3 linked regions of the Astyanax mexicanus genome follow. The protein of the gene in region 1 interacts with the protein of each later gene in a pairwise test. Links are inferred from orthologs where the notes say so. Each region holds a gene or a part of one and is shown in the gene's direction. Other genes may lie near its edges.

Region 1 (4,841 bases):
GTGAACGAATCTGTTCCTGAAACGCCTCACATGCGCACATTGATACCTGCATAAACTTTGTCTTCTTTACCACCAACAAAAAACGCCATATTTACGAGACGACTCATAGCTTTATAAAGGGAAATGGATGTGTCGTTAGCAGCTCATATGTGGAGCATCTTTTACTGGAGTGGACAGAAAACAGCTGGTCTGAGGTTCATGCTCAGGTCGAAAATGTGAGACAGAAGCCTGTAGCGCATGCATGAAAGAAAAAAGACGCATGAATTCTGATTTGACCGTTCATATTTATGTCGCATGTCCATGGATTGGATACATATCCAGTTTAGGACCACATATGAAAGTGATGCAAGTCTGATAAAAAACAAAAAAAAAAACAGATTGGGCACAGCCATGAAAAAATCAGATCTGAGCCACATTGAGCAAAAAATTTGATTTGAGTTACTTCAGCCTGCTAATGTGAACGTATCCTTTAACTTTGTTGCATTTTAAAGTCACAATTAAGAATTAAATGTTAACTGATTTAGTCCTTGATCCAATACCACTGCATTTAATAAAATTGATGAAATTGAGTAAGAGCGTGGTCAAAAAGTGTCTTACTAAGCTCCTGTTTCCAGCCACCTCCACCAAACTACCCTACTTCATATACTTTTTAACCTCATGATGTGATCACAGGTGCAATGCTACAAAAACGTAATTCAGTATCTCACAAACATTTCAAATTCAACATAATTCAAATTCGAAACACAAAATAAATGTAAACTGATTTGCTGCAAAATTAAAGAATAAAATGAATGCAGCTATAAACAGCTATAACACTAACGTTCTGTATCGTTTAATCGTAAGCCCTTTAATGCTATACATATCATATTGCAAAGTTCTCACCAATACACAGGCCTACTAGTCACATGAAGGGACCAGGTGTAATTGGGATCTGTATCTGGATAGGTACTTATGCTTAAACCATATGGCTCGCTGGTCATTTGTTGAACAGTTGAACCAATAAGTGTGGGTGTCAGGAGTCCCAATGTGATGTCTGTGTGTGGCCACCTAGGGGGCTTCAATTTGTCACCATGTTGTGGGAGGTACATAGATAGAGTCTGTGGGTGTTCTGAAAATGACAGACCTGTAACGGACCTCCGACACGGCCTATTAAACGAATGAATGCTCTCTCAACTCCTGCACTGGAGTTTAAAGCTGAGAGTCGAGAGAAAGCACCTCCTGGAATGTTACACTGTTTTTTTTTTAAGGGTTCACATCTCGTTGAGCATTAACTATGTCTTTGGGTCACTTCTGAACTGTAATTATTACTGTTCCCCCACATCTCGTGAAGCAGTGACTCTGCAGAAATGGACAGCCGGGCCTGTATTTAGACAGTGAATAACGTGCAGAACAAAACCCTGGATTGTTCCTGTGCTGCATGCAGCTCTGTAGGAGGAAATTGATTCAGTGTGAGAGCTGTGAGAGCTGTGAGAGAGTTGGGATAGAGCGAGTGCACTATATGGCTATGGCTGTGGAGTTAATGAAATAAAGGTGTAATCAGTGTCACTCTTTACAGCGCCTCACATCTAAACATTTCTGTCTTTATATCATCCAGCGAGGACCTCCAGTTTAAATATTTGGACAGGAGGAGGGAAAAAAAGAGGTGGATGACTTTTCCAAGTAGACGTGTGTCTTTTCCTCCCTTTTTAGCACACTCACCCTCTCTCTCTCTCTCTCTCTCTCTCTCTCGCTCTCTCTCTCTCTCTCTCTTGATTTTCTCTCTCTTTTTCTCTCTCTCTCCCTTTTTCTCTCACGTTCCTTACTCTTCTTGCTAATTTCTTTCCGCATTCCACCAGCTTCTCTCCCAAGGATATAAATATCTGGCTGTGGAGTGAGGGAGGAAAAAAGATGGGTGAGATGAAGGGTGAATTGAGGTGGGAGGGAAACATGGAGAGAAAAATGGAGAGAAAGTTGCGAGCTGTGGGGGGCCAGTTTAAATGAAACCAGGTGCGTTGGAACTATTTGTGTGTATTTGCTCTGTATGTATGTGTTTGAGTGTTTAAGTGTGCGTGTGTGTGTAAATGTGTAGGGTCTGCTGGTGGTGGTGGTTTGTGAGGAAGGGTTCAGGGGGGGCGGTCGAATGTGTGTGTGTGTGTGTAAGTGTGTGTGTGTAACTGTGACTGTGTGAATCTGTGCACTGTTGTTCTGCCGGCAAACCGGACAGATTTGGAATTTTGGAATTTGGGCCGCAGACCAGGAATTTTCATCCTGGGGGGTGAGGAGAGGAGGAGAGGAGAGGGGTGGGGGGTGGTCAGAGGGGTGTCTGGGGGGCGGAGGACGGCGGCGCAGGGGGCCTAGAGGGGGGGTCGGAATGGGCTGTCCCTCTCTTCCGTCTCGCCCTCCTCGGGATACATTCATACACTCCAGCTGTCCGTCTCCACACTCCACTCAGTCAAGCTGAAGAGGTAGAACAAGGAAGAAGGAGAAGAACAAGAAGAGAAGGAAGAGGCAGCTAAAGAAGAGAGAGACAGAGAGAAAAAGAGGAAGAGAAGGGAGAGAAACCTTCACCGGAAGAGAAGAGAAGAAAAGAGGAGAGACAGACAGAGAGAATCCACAAGAATCCAAGGCCACAACAGGAGGAGAAGTGACCTGTGAGTACAACATGCTTCAGATTTCACATTCACTAAACAAGGGATTACAATAAAAGTAAAAAAAAAAAAAGTACTAAAATATTATCATCTCAATATAGAAGGTGAGAATAAGACATTCAGTACCTCATGAAAGGAGAAAAAGAAAAGAATAGATGAGTAAGATACTGCATAAAGAGGAAAGATAGTAAGATACAGTAGAAACAGAAGAAAAAAAACAACAGAAAAGTAAATTTTTTCCTTGAAGGCTCTCAGTACGTCACCCATGCTCCACAGCTCCACTCCAACCATTCACAGCCTCAGCGCCCTGGTGCTACTTCACTCCGGCCACAAAAGTGCTGGAATGACCCAGAATACCCTCACTGTGCAGCCGTCACGCAATCCTATCTCTTACAGTCAGCCCCGCTGAGACGGGCCAGACGCTCGTGGCTTTAGTCCTCCAGTGTCTCTTACCCAACCGTCAGGATGCTGTTACTGTTACGCATCACGCTTCATGTACACACTATACTATTGCAAAACTTTCCAACCTCGCTTCCAGCTTTCTTTCACAACCAGCACTAATGTCACTCACCTCCTCTCTTAGACCCCCACTAGAGCAGCAGCTCTGGGCAACTTTTACTATAAAAAAAGGAGCTTGGAAAAGGCTGGAACTGTGTGAGTGGCTGTACTTTCAGGATTGTCTATCTATAGTTTTAGGCTGATTTGTCCAGTTTTATTCAACAAATGAGGCTTTTTAAAGTGACTCTTTGGTCACTTTAGTAGGCCTGTCACTATAATTATGTTATGGACCTATCATACTTATCAATTAATATCCATTGTCCATCATGGATGTTAACATACAAATAAATGTCACTAATATTTTATTCAGTCAGGCATTGAACCATGCATCAGTAACATGACTGAAGTATTCACCTCTCAAACTATTATTAATCAAATGTTCATTGTCTCTCACAAGGGTGTAATAGCATAATAGCATCATTATTTCTGAGAGAATATAGAATATATCATCCAATACAAAAAAACAAAAAAAAAAACAGTTATCATGACATGTCTACTGCTTAGCAGCGCTAACAGTTAACAGCTCAAGAAAAACACGTTTTGGCCCCGCTGAAAAAAAAAACACAGGTGCCATAACAAGGAGAGAAAAAAAACACGTACAATTAAACCCCCCCAGCATGGTGTCACGACTCAGAACAGTGGCCTACTGTACAAGCACAGGCCACTTCTTCACCGAATGTTCACGCAACGCTTCATCACGTTTGTTTGTATATTTTTGCAATTACTGACTTTTGGCTGCATTATTTTATATGGCTCAGGGCTGACTCCAGCATTCATTCAACGGCAAAGAAGCATGCCGGGCAGTCGCGCCTACAGACCTGTGCAAAAACACCTCAGCAATTTCTTTAAAACTGTTTATCTTGGTAGAAAAACAGTAAAAATGAATTCGAAAAAGTAGGTGATGTCTGGTTTGAACTGGTTAGAAGAACACATATTTGTAGATGTACATTAAGCCTTTCAGAATGGTTTGGTGTGAAACACTGTGTTCTAGAGTTTAAGGGGTCAGGCCTTTGAAAGTTCATACCTTACCCTACATTTGTGCCCTATTGGAGATGTCCACATAGCAGGTAAAGTAGCCAAAATGTTTTTTTCTTAGTCCTTTCCCACTATATTTTAAATGTGAACTACATCAGATGTTCAGTCCAAACTGTTAAACTGGCGCCTACGCACAGAAAACAAAGCTTCCATAAGGTTTTTGTTTCATCTTCTCCAGCATCAAAGTAGCTCTCAAAGTTCCAGGGTTCCTGTTGCATGAATTTCATTCTGGCTGTTTAGGCTGAGTCGCATTGATGCTTATTGTATATATGTATTGGATTTCAATTTCATAAAATCCACAAAGAAGTGGTTAAACTTTAAATTCAAAAGGTGGAAAAAGGTTTTGTGTTTTTTGTCATTCACATTGCTATGTAAAAAAACATGTAAGTGACAAAAAAGATCATATTTGGTCTAATTTTACCAAATGTGTGACTGTAGCCTTAGACAGAGGTGTGAATAAGGCTTAAGTAAATCTCAATCCCAATCTCAGTCTTACCATTTGAGTCTCAAGCAAATCTAAAATCATAACCTTTATGTCTCAATCAGGTCTCAAGCCTTAATTATCAAGTCAATCTCAGTCAAATCTCAAATCTTACCATTTAAGTCTTAATCAAGTCTCAA
Region 2 (4,841 bases), on another chromosome or scaffold:
GCTGTGCGATTAGCTGTAAAAATTTTATTGTATTATCTGCATTTTCTCATTGTATGAGGGTGTTGGTTACATTAACTTTTTTATAGGGCCAACCCAAACATCTTCACTGGCAAAAGCTGACTTGCCCTGGTCTACATACTTCTGGATTCTTCTCAGTAATTTGCAGGCATGTTTGATGTCAAGAATGTGTCAACCCTAACCTTCGATATTAGAGCTGAGAAAACACTGATAAGGCAAGGAAAACTTCAAGGAAAGGTTCTTAATGTGTTTTTTGGATGGCGAACAAATGTATTTCTTAGATTTGGTCTTGGATTTGATATTTTAGCCTTGTGTAAATGACCCAAGAGAAAGTCAAAATATCTTCACTTAAAAGAAAGAAGATTTCGAGATGAGGAGCTCCAGGTTTCCTGTGACGAGAAAGAGCTGCAGCCTACCTTGGTGTCCTGTGAGCTCTGGTGAATAATAATGAATGATGTTGTGTGTAGGCTGCTGACATTTTGCTAGACTGGGGGTATTTGAATGAATAGGGAGAACACGCCAGGACATCCTCCCTGTTCAGTCAGTCGCTGGGTGCTGAGCACACATTTGGCTGTGTGTCGGTTGGAGCTAATAGATAGCTTAGCTAGCTTTTTCCTTTTCCTCCTCCTGACCTGCTCTCTCTCTCTCTCTGTCTCTTTCTCCACTATAGGATGAAGATGGGCAAGAACAGATGAAGACTTCACTAAATGAAGACTGTTAACGTTACATGACAAATCGTTGAGTGAAGAAAACAACGGCTCCGTGAGAGGATTCTGCCTCAGCATTTTTTCCTTTTAATTCTCACGTAGCCGAGATTGAGAATACAGATTCGCGGAGCTGCGAAGAATACGCAAGATGCGTAGCTACGAAGTGTGCGTAAACTAGTTACGTTCTCTTCTGGATTCTGGGTTCGGCGTGCACGAAGTGAATACGGCTCTTGAATACGCTTCGGGTTGGTCGCATAGCTAGGACCCTCTTTCTCCCCCTCCTCCTCCTCGCCTCCTCCACATTAACCTAACGTTAGCTAAACTGCAACCGGGCTTTCATGTCAGTCGCTGGGACTGGACTAGCGAGCACGTGCGGCTGGGGGGAGAGCGTCCGGAGACTTCTGATGGACGGGGACTTCTGTCTCGAGCCGTTCAAAACAAAAGCAAAAAAATGTGCCCTAATAAACGGATGGCAACGTTAAAAGCCGTGGAGAGAAAACTTTCCAGTTTGCTCAGTCTGCTTCTCGCAGTGCTGGTGGGGTTACTGTAAAAAGAGCCGTAGCTGGGGGTGAAGGTGGGGGTGAGCCGGGGGTGAGCCAGGGGGAGGTGGGTGTAATAGCGAGGCTACTGCGCATTGAGGGGACGGCCGGTGTTTCGCTGGGCTTTCGCGCAGATGAAATGACTCTCTGCGTCTCTCTGGCGCTGTCAAAAAAGCCGAACTGCAGCGGTGCCTGAAAAAAAGAAAGCGCCATCCTAGCTGCGGATAACTTGTGCTATTCGGAGCCTTTCTATATATCCTTCCAGAGGGAGAGGAGGAGGAAGAAGCCGGCCGGCCGACTCTTTCTAGCTAGCTGGCTGGCTAGCCAAGGTCGGATGCAAGTAAACAACCGATAAAAAGAAAGCACTAGCCGGGGCGTAGCGAGCCGTATGGGTCCTGCGTACTCAAAAAAGCCCCCCATTTCCACACGGGAAGCTGCGCTGTGTCTGTGCTGTTAAGGAAGGGAGGGAGGTGGACCGGGGAGACAGCTAGCTAGAGAGAAGGGGACGGTGGACGCTGGTCCTGCTCCTGCTCCGCCGCGTCCTGAAGCCTCTCGACTCTCGACTTCCACGCCCTTTTTTGCCTGTTTGTTTTTTGCACACTGTGGATGTCTGCGCGCTTTGACAGAGACTCGTGTTGCGAGCTGCAGCGGCGAGGGGCCTGCTGCCGCTGCCCCCATCAACAAACACTGCGAACACCGCGGCTCCGTCCAAGCGTCGTTGGCTTTGCAGAGGTTCGCAGCTGGCTGGCCGCCTGCTTACGGACATTGCGTACGACCGCAGCGTACGATACGGCCGTTGGAGAAGCTCGGGTGACATTGCAGAGGCTCTCCTCTGCGTGCGTGGTGCGTTCGTTCGTAGTCCCACACACTTTCCCGCACACTCCCTAGTTAACCTAACTCCCTACAGCCCCCCCTCAGCTCTCCGCCCCACCGCCCCCCCCCCCAGTCAAACTACTCCGGGTGTTAGCTCGCTAGCTACGCCGCTCGTCGGACGGGAGCGGGAGGAGGAGGGAAGAGGAAAGAAGGAGGAGGGAAAGGTGGAGCATCGTCCGTCGTACGCCCTGACGCAGTGGGACTTTTACGTGTGGTCGGCGTTTCCCCCCGCCCTTCCCGCGGTGACGGTGATGGGTCGGAAGCGGTGTGTCGGTGCAGATTGTTCGAAGATGGCGGCCGGGTGCTGCGGGGTGAAGAAGCAGAAGTTGTCGGGATCCCCCGGCTCGGGGGGGCCCGGCGGGGCGGGGAGCGGGGTGGCAGGGGCCGGACACTGCGGATCGGACTTGGGGATCGGGTCCTCCTCCACCGTGGTGGCCGGCAGCGTGAATCGGGTGAACGGCCTGGGGGGTCCTGGGGGTAGCGGCGGCAGCAGCGGCGGCGGAGGAGGAGGCAGCAGCGGCAACTCCACCGCTCTGTCCCCAACTCCGGGAGGCTACAACTCTACCGGCCTCTCTCCGAACCTCAGCCCCGGTCCTGGCTCTGGAAGCGGGGCCAGGAAGATGGTAGTGTCGGCGGAGATGTGTTGCTTCTGCTTCGACGTGCTTTATTGCCATCTATACGGATACCAGCCTCCCCGAACACCCAGGTTTACAAACGACCCCTAGTAAGTAGCGGGATGGCTAAGTTAGCTTAACTGGCTAAAATAGCAGCTAAGTAGTGATGTTCTCGGTCTTTGTCAACCTAAAGAAGCCTAAAGAAATATGACTTGAAGTAGTTTAGCTAAGGAGTCTTGCCTGCTTTTCAGTAAACACTGACACGAGTCACCATTAACCTATATTTTCTTGCTACTTTATTAACTACCAAATGCTTAAATGTATTTCCCTGGTAACTTTCAACTTTTGTGTTCAGATAGAGTTAGCTAAGTAGGTGGCTACGATTGAAAACATTTGTAGTTTTAGATATTTCTCTAAAAAAGTAACCTATCTAACTTCAATCAACTCGTCGCCTAAGGAAGGAGAAAAAAGTGCCCGAGTTCCTTTATTTACTAAAGCCGCTGTTGTTTGAATGAACTTCAAGTAGCTGGACTATTTACCACGAAAACACTGACTGGTGTGAGCTTACGGGTTTAATGCTAGCTAGCGGTTAGCCAACTTAGTCCGGATTAATTTTTTATCAGATACACTGGCCGAGCGTCCCACTTTATTTCAGCTAAAGCTAATTCTCTGGGTTAGTGTGGGTTTCTTATACTATAAATACGGTCAAACAAATTTCAAAAACACGTAGGTAAATAACTGGATTGTTATCAAACATACGGTAGTTTATGTGTGTCTCTTTTGTGTGCTCTTGCTAACGCTCTGTTGGGTGATGTTTTACAGTGAACTGAATTATGAACCCGTTAGCTACGCTAGCTAGCTAACCAAGCTGCACACGTTAGCTAAGCTTGTTCGGCTAGCCACGAATATTAGCCAGCTAGCTCACTTGCCAGTGAAATTCCTGAAATTACACAGAATTTCGACACCAGTTCTTTCCACGTTTATAATTAGTTCCTTTGGCTGGCTTGTTTTTGTCAAGCATAATGTCGGCTAAAAACAGCCAAGCGCTTTAGCTGTCTATCTATTTATCTAGGTGTGCATCTAGCAGTCATTGGCTAGCTTAGCTAGCTAGCGCTAGATTGGTTAGCTAACAAAGCCGGAGTTGTTTACGGTGCCTTTAACAGCAGAGCAGTGTAGTTTTAAAGTCGACTCCCTAGCATATTTCCAGCTAGGCTTAATTGGCGTTTCTCTGCTTATATTAATTTGGGTGGTTGAGGTTAGTTATTAGCAAACCCAATTACTTAATTTAAGGACATGTCCAGTCTGCGAAAGCTAACCCTGCAAATAAACATCACTGTAGCGCGAATGAGTGACCGGTCAGTTTTTGCTGCTTTGTTCGGTAGCGTTAGCTGGGTTAACACTAGCCAGCACATTGGTGGACGAATCACCCAGACCATGTTGTTTGCTTGCTATTCAAGTTAAAATAGAGGTAGATAACAACCTAAGGTAGGTTGACTAGTTAACATAGGTAAAATATGACTCCAGCAAATATGGATCCGTTTAGACCTCCACTTGAGTAGCAGTACACAAACATTTGCCTTTAAATGTATTTAATTTGTGAATGTAAAAGTACCGTTGTTTATTATGACTTTTTTTTTATTGTGACGATTTTCGGTCATGTTTGTAACAAAACTCATGAGTAAACAGTTCGTTTTAGATGATGAGTATCACTATTTGTTCACCAGTCTTTTAAAAATGCCATTAATTAGTCTGACAATGATGTCTATTAAAACAGCCATTATAACAGAACTGAAGGTTTTTGAAGTACCATATATTTTGCACTATAAGGCCCACCTGATTATCAATAAAGGTACATTTCCTGGTCTATTTTCATACATAAGGAGCCCTGGATTAAAAGGTTCATTATGTGACACTAGAAAGAAACAGGGGTGTCGCCATGTTTTCCTTCTAATTCTGCAGGTATGGCTGGCTACAGTCTGCTAATAACGTTACTCACCTCTGAAAGATGAAAGAGCTAGCACTTTGAGCGGTTAGCGCCTAATGCTAATTCTTCTCCAGCAGTGCTAGCCGGGGTTATAAGCAGGCCACAT
Region 3 (4,841 bases), on another chromosome or scaffold:
AAAACAAGTGAAAACAGACAATTCATTATAAATTCAGTATAAATCATTGTACATGCTTTTTTCTAGACATTTCTTTTCTATTTTTTAATTAACATTACATAACACTGTATATAGCCTAAAAGGATATAAGGAAGTTATTATTATATTATAGTCCTGCCAAAATGTGTGAATTAAATAAAATGATCAAAAATACATCAGTGAATAATAAAATAAATAATTGAATAAATAATAACAAGTAAATCAATAGAATAAAGAATTACATTCATCATATAACAATTTTTCGAGTAAACCTCACCGCAAGACCAAGACAAGGCTGATTTCAAGGCCAAGACTGCCCTGAGTACTATAGCAAATATAATTATTATGATGCAGGTCAGTGCACAGCAGGGTTAGATCAACCCTACAGTTACCACTGTAGCTCTAACCCTGCAGAGCTTTATCAAAGCTGTTAGCATCCCGGCTTACATACTCCAATCCTGTGTCCAGTATCTTTAAAACTGAGGTACATTTATCAGTCAGATTTGACTGAAACACAGTAGGAGGGAAAAGCTTTGGGATGAATCAGAATGATATGTGGAACATATAGAAGAAATGCTTTAAAGTGCCTCACTGGCTGCTAATAGCGTTACTAGTGAGACGCTGTAACAGAGCTGATCTGGAGTAAAGGAGCATTGTGAAATGTAGTAGGTGTTAGTTCACTGGGGAAAGTCTTTCTCTCTCTCTCTCCCTCTCTCCCTCTCTCTCTCTCTCTCTTTTTTTTCTTGTGCCGTCTTTCTGCTCTTTTTGTCTGCATCTCTTTCTTGTCTTTTATGGTCTTTTTTCCCTTTTTCTATTCTATTGTATTCCCTTTTATTTTCTTTCCTTGTCTTTCTCTACTTTCTCCCCTGCTACTTCTCTTTTTCTTTCTCTCTGTTTTACTTTCTCTTTGTCTCTCTCTTTCTTTCTGTTTTTTCTACCCTTTCTCTCTTTCTGTTTCTCTCCACCTTTTTTCCATTTTCTTGAAATTTTCCTTTTTTGTCTCTTACCTGATTTGCTCTTCACTTTTATTTCTTTCTCTCACTTTCTGCCCCCTTTTTATCCTCTACTAAATTATATCTTTTTTCTCCCCTTTCTCTGTCTTACTCTTTCTCTCTTCTTCCTCCCCTCCTCTCTCTTTACTGTTTTTTCTTGTCTTGATTGTTTTTCCCTCCATTTTTCTTTTTCCCTTCCTTTTTGTCTTTTTCCTTTCCCCTTGTTGTCTTTTCTCTTTCCTCATTCTTTATTACACTTTCTCTCTTTATTTTTTATTCCCTTCGTCCCTGCTATATCGTATTCTTTATCTCAGCATTTGCTTTTTCCCTTCATCTCTTCCTTGTCATTTCGTCTCTTGTCTGTTGTTGTTTCCAGTTTCTTTTTATATTTTCATTGTCTGTTTCTCCTTTTTTATTGTATTTGTTTTTTTCCCCATTACTTCTACTTAGTCTTTCTCTCTCCTTCCTCCTGCTATTTCTCTTTCTGTTTATCTCTACTCTATTTTCGTCTTTTTTGAAACTTTTCTTCTTTTTGTCTCTTACCTAATGTGCGCTTCACTTTTCTTTCTTGCTATCTCTTTCTGCCCACTTTTGTTCCCCCTCTTTATTCAGTTCTTTCTATTTTTACTTTCTCTCTCTCTGTCTTACTCTTTCTCTCCTCTTCCTCCCCTGCTATTGCTCTCTCTCTTTGCTGATTTTCTTTCTTCTTTCTATCTTGTCACTTTCTTTTTTTATCCCTTTTTTTCCTCCACTTTAATTTTTCCTTTCTTTTTTGTCTTTCTCCTCTCTTCATGTGTTGTCTCTACTTCTTTCTTTCTTTTTCTTTCCCTTTATTCTTTATTACTCCCCTCCCTACCTGCTATCTCTTATTCTTTCTCTCAGTCTCTCGCTTTTTTTTTGCAATACTGTTTCTTCTCTCTCTCTCTCTGATTTGCTCTATGAGAGGACTCTGTGTTTAGCTGGCTGCTGGGCTGAGGAGTGAGTGAGTGAGTAAGTGAAGGAGGGAGGGTGGCAGCTACAAGTGCCCAATCTCTGACAGCCTCTGGCACTCATTTGAGCGAGAGTGAGGGAGAGAGAGAGAGAGAGAGAGAGAGAGAGAGAGAGAGAGGAAGGGAGGGAGAGAGGGAAAAGTTGTTCCACAGAGCACCTTTTATCACCTAGCACACAGAAACACATTCTCCTCCACTTCTGCTGGACTACAGCTCTGAAACACTCCACACACACTTCCCAGCAGGCTACACGTGGACGCTCTGGTCAGGTCAGATGATCAGCTTCGGTGAGTGATTTCTCTCCTCCGTCACTTTTCTGCTGTAGAAAAAAAACATATACATGCTGGTTTGAAATGTTGAATAGAATTTGCTGTTTCCAAAATATTTAATGTACAGATAGTAAATGAACACTCCAGTGTGATCTGCAGCTCAGCCCACATTACAACTGACTGTCAGTTTGATGTATTTTTCTGTTTATAAGATAATTAAGACTAAGCTTTAGGCTCAACCCTCAAAAATACATAACAGCAGCCAATGGGAAGTTGGTAAGTTCAGCACCTGCACAAATATCTCTATTGTAAGTACATTAGATGGATTAAAGATGGATTACTGTATATCCAATCCTATTCAATCCATACAGTCTGCCTTTAAACACACGTGAAGTGAACGAATGGGTGGTTATGAAGAGCTCACTTAACAGTGTGGTACTGTTATAGGTTTCCACCACTGCAACAAGTTCTCCCAGCTATGAGTGGTATTATTGAAAAGTGGACCATTTAGGAACCACAGCAACCCAGCTGTATGAAGTCACAGAGAGAGGTTGTGTGAGGTGGTTTCTGAAATTAGTTTTTGCATGGTGGGGTGTCTTTAAAAGCAAAGCGCATAAACTGTGCACTGGCTGCATGCAAACCTTAAATCACCAAGCACTATGTCAAACATCGGATGGAGGGATGTAAAGCATACCCTCAATGGACACTGGATGTGGTGATACATGATTGTTCTACATGATTGATGCATTGAGCTTCTCTACCTGAAAGTCTAATGGTTGAAAATGTTACCTGCTTGACTTCACTGTGCCAACAGTAAAGTTTGGTGGAGGAAGGATAATGCTATGGAGTTGTTTTTCAGGTATTGCTCTCTTAGGGTGTACTCTCACTAATCATGGTTTGGTTGAATCGTACTTGGAGCCCTTTCCCCTTGCTGGCCTGCACTCATACTTGGTTTAAACAATCCGTGCCTGAGCACGCTTACGTCACTCACTGCTCAGTGTGCTTGCTAGTGCTATGCTGAATTCAGCACCCCCACCATAAAAAGCACCCTCTCTGCAGTCTTTTGTCATCTCAAGACTCGACTACTGCAACTCCCTACTGGCTGGTCATCCACTGCGAGTCACCAAACCCCTGCAACTAGTTCAGAATCAGCGGCAGCACGACTTGTCCTTAATCTTACGAAGTTTAGTCATGTGACTCCTTTGGTGCATTCCCTTCACTGGCTTTATGTTGCCGCCCAAATCAAATTTAAAACCCTGACGCTGGCCTACAAAGCCAAAAACGGACCAGCTTCTTCCTTCTCGATGGCACTGATGGTCAAAGCTAGATCTGTACCAAGAGCTCTTAGAGCTTCCAGTATGGCTCAACTCAAACCACCATCTCTCAAGATTAACAGAAAACAAACATGGACTCTTCTCTGTGCTGCAGGACCAAAATGGTGGAATGAACTTCCACTGGGTGTGAGAACAGCAAATTCACTCGCGGTCTTACTTACTCGCCCCAGTTCACAAAACAAGATCATATAGGCATGGTTGCTTGAGTTTGGTGTGGAAGGGAAGGCCCTCACAGAAACCTAACATCAACCCAAACAAACACTGTTGGGGTGATGCACCAAATATTTGGAAACCAAAAAATGTGGGCAAATGTACCAGTAAATAAATAAGGGAATAAATAAAAAGATCAAACACATTTATTAAGGAAAGAGTTAGAAAATATCCAAGCTGTACAGGACTAGTATAGTAACATAAGCTGAGCATTTATTAGCATCTATTTTTTCAACAAAAGTCAGCTTAAGTACCACTGTTGAGGTAAATTCGCAACTAAAGTCAGTAGATAGAGTAGCACTGCTGAAGTATATTCACAATTTACACTTACTGCTGAGGATAATGTACTGTGTTTTGTTGGTGTATTAGTCATGTTAAGTGTTCAATACATATTTTATATGGTAGTTTTGTAAAAGCAAGAAAAAAAACATTTTGGCTATAAAATTAGTTCAATGTTGAAAAAAGTGGCAAACTTAATGAATACCTGTGGAAAATCATGTTAAGTATTCTGCCTTTGGCCAATTATGTCATTTTGTTTCATCCTTTTGGTTATGGCCACACAATTTCATTTTTGTGCATCCCTAATATGAATGCCTATTGACTCAAGAAACCTTGTATGTACAAGAAAACTTTTGTCATAAAGATATGTGTTAGACTTGCAACAGCTGTGACCTACAGCATAGACAATATTTAGTCGCTGTTTACATTTGTACACTTTGGGGGTGGTGGTGTTGGCGATTGTGTCATACAGTGAACTCCAAACACTGCTGTTTATTTTAATAAGATCAGACAGAGAGATTAGTGAAGAAAAAATGCATTACTCACTAATATAAACTTGGCATTAATGACCAAAGAGAAAAAACCCACACTCTGTATTTACTGTAATAAAAAAAACTGCTCTTATTCACCCATACCAGTGTGAATTGTCATTGTAAAATTCACACTGCAGTCATTCTTTTCTCTGAAAGGGGGAATTAAAATACAGCCCTGGCCTTTTGTATAAATGTGCATGTATATAGTAAATAATCA

Evidence for each region.
Region 2: the proteins of efemp2a (region 1) and ammecr1 interact in binary tests that used the Homo sapiens proteins (3 or more experiments, as listed by UniProt). The two-hybrid records come from large-scale screens. The link is inferred for Astyanax mexicanus from reciprocal best matches to the Homo sapiens genes EFEMP2 and AMMECR1.
Region 3: the proteins of efemp2a (region 1) and il16 interact in binary tests that used the Homo sapiens proteins (3 or more experiments, as listed by UniProt). The two-hybrid records come from large-scale screens. The link is inferred for Astyanax mexicanus from reciprocal best matches to the Homo sapiens genes EFEMP2 and IL16.

What each region holds. Positions count from the first base shown.
Region 1 is NC_064417.1:45,817,511-45,822,351, reverse strand, and holds the start of efemp2a (EGF-containing fibulin-like extracellular matrix protein 2a), read left to right. Parts: upstream 1-2,351; 5' UTR 2,352-2,630; intron 2,631-4,841. UniProt on the Homo sapiens protein: Plays a crucial role in elastic fiber formation in tissue, and in the formation of ultrastructural connections between elastic laminae and smooth muscle cells in the aorta, therefore participates in terminal differentiation and maturation of smooth muscle cell (SMC) and in the mechanical properties and wall integrity maintenance of the aorta.
Region 2 is NC_064424.1:19,970,964-19,975,804, reverse strand, and holds the start of ammecr1 (AMME syndrome candidate gene 1 protein), read left to right. Parts: upstream 1-1,339; 5' UTR 1,340-2,388; coding exon 2,389-2,861; intron 2,862-4,841.
Region 3 is NC_064423.1:11,234,622-11,239,462, forward strand, and holds the start of il16 (pro-interleukin-16), read left to right. Parts: upstream 1-2,135; 5' UTR 2,136-2,273; coding exon 2,274-2,286; intron 2,287-4,841. UniProt on the Homo sapiens protein: Interleukin-16 stimulates a migratory response in CD4+ lymphocytes, monocytes, and eosinophils. Primes CD4+ T-cells for IL-2 and IL-15 responsiveness. Also induces T-lymphocyte expression of interleukin 2 receptor. Ligand for CD4.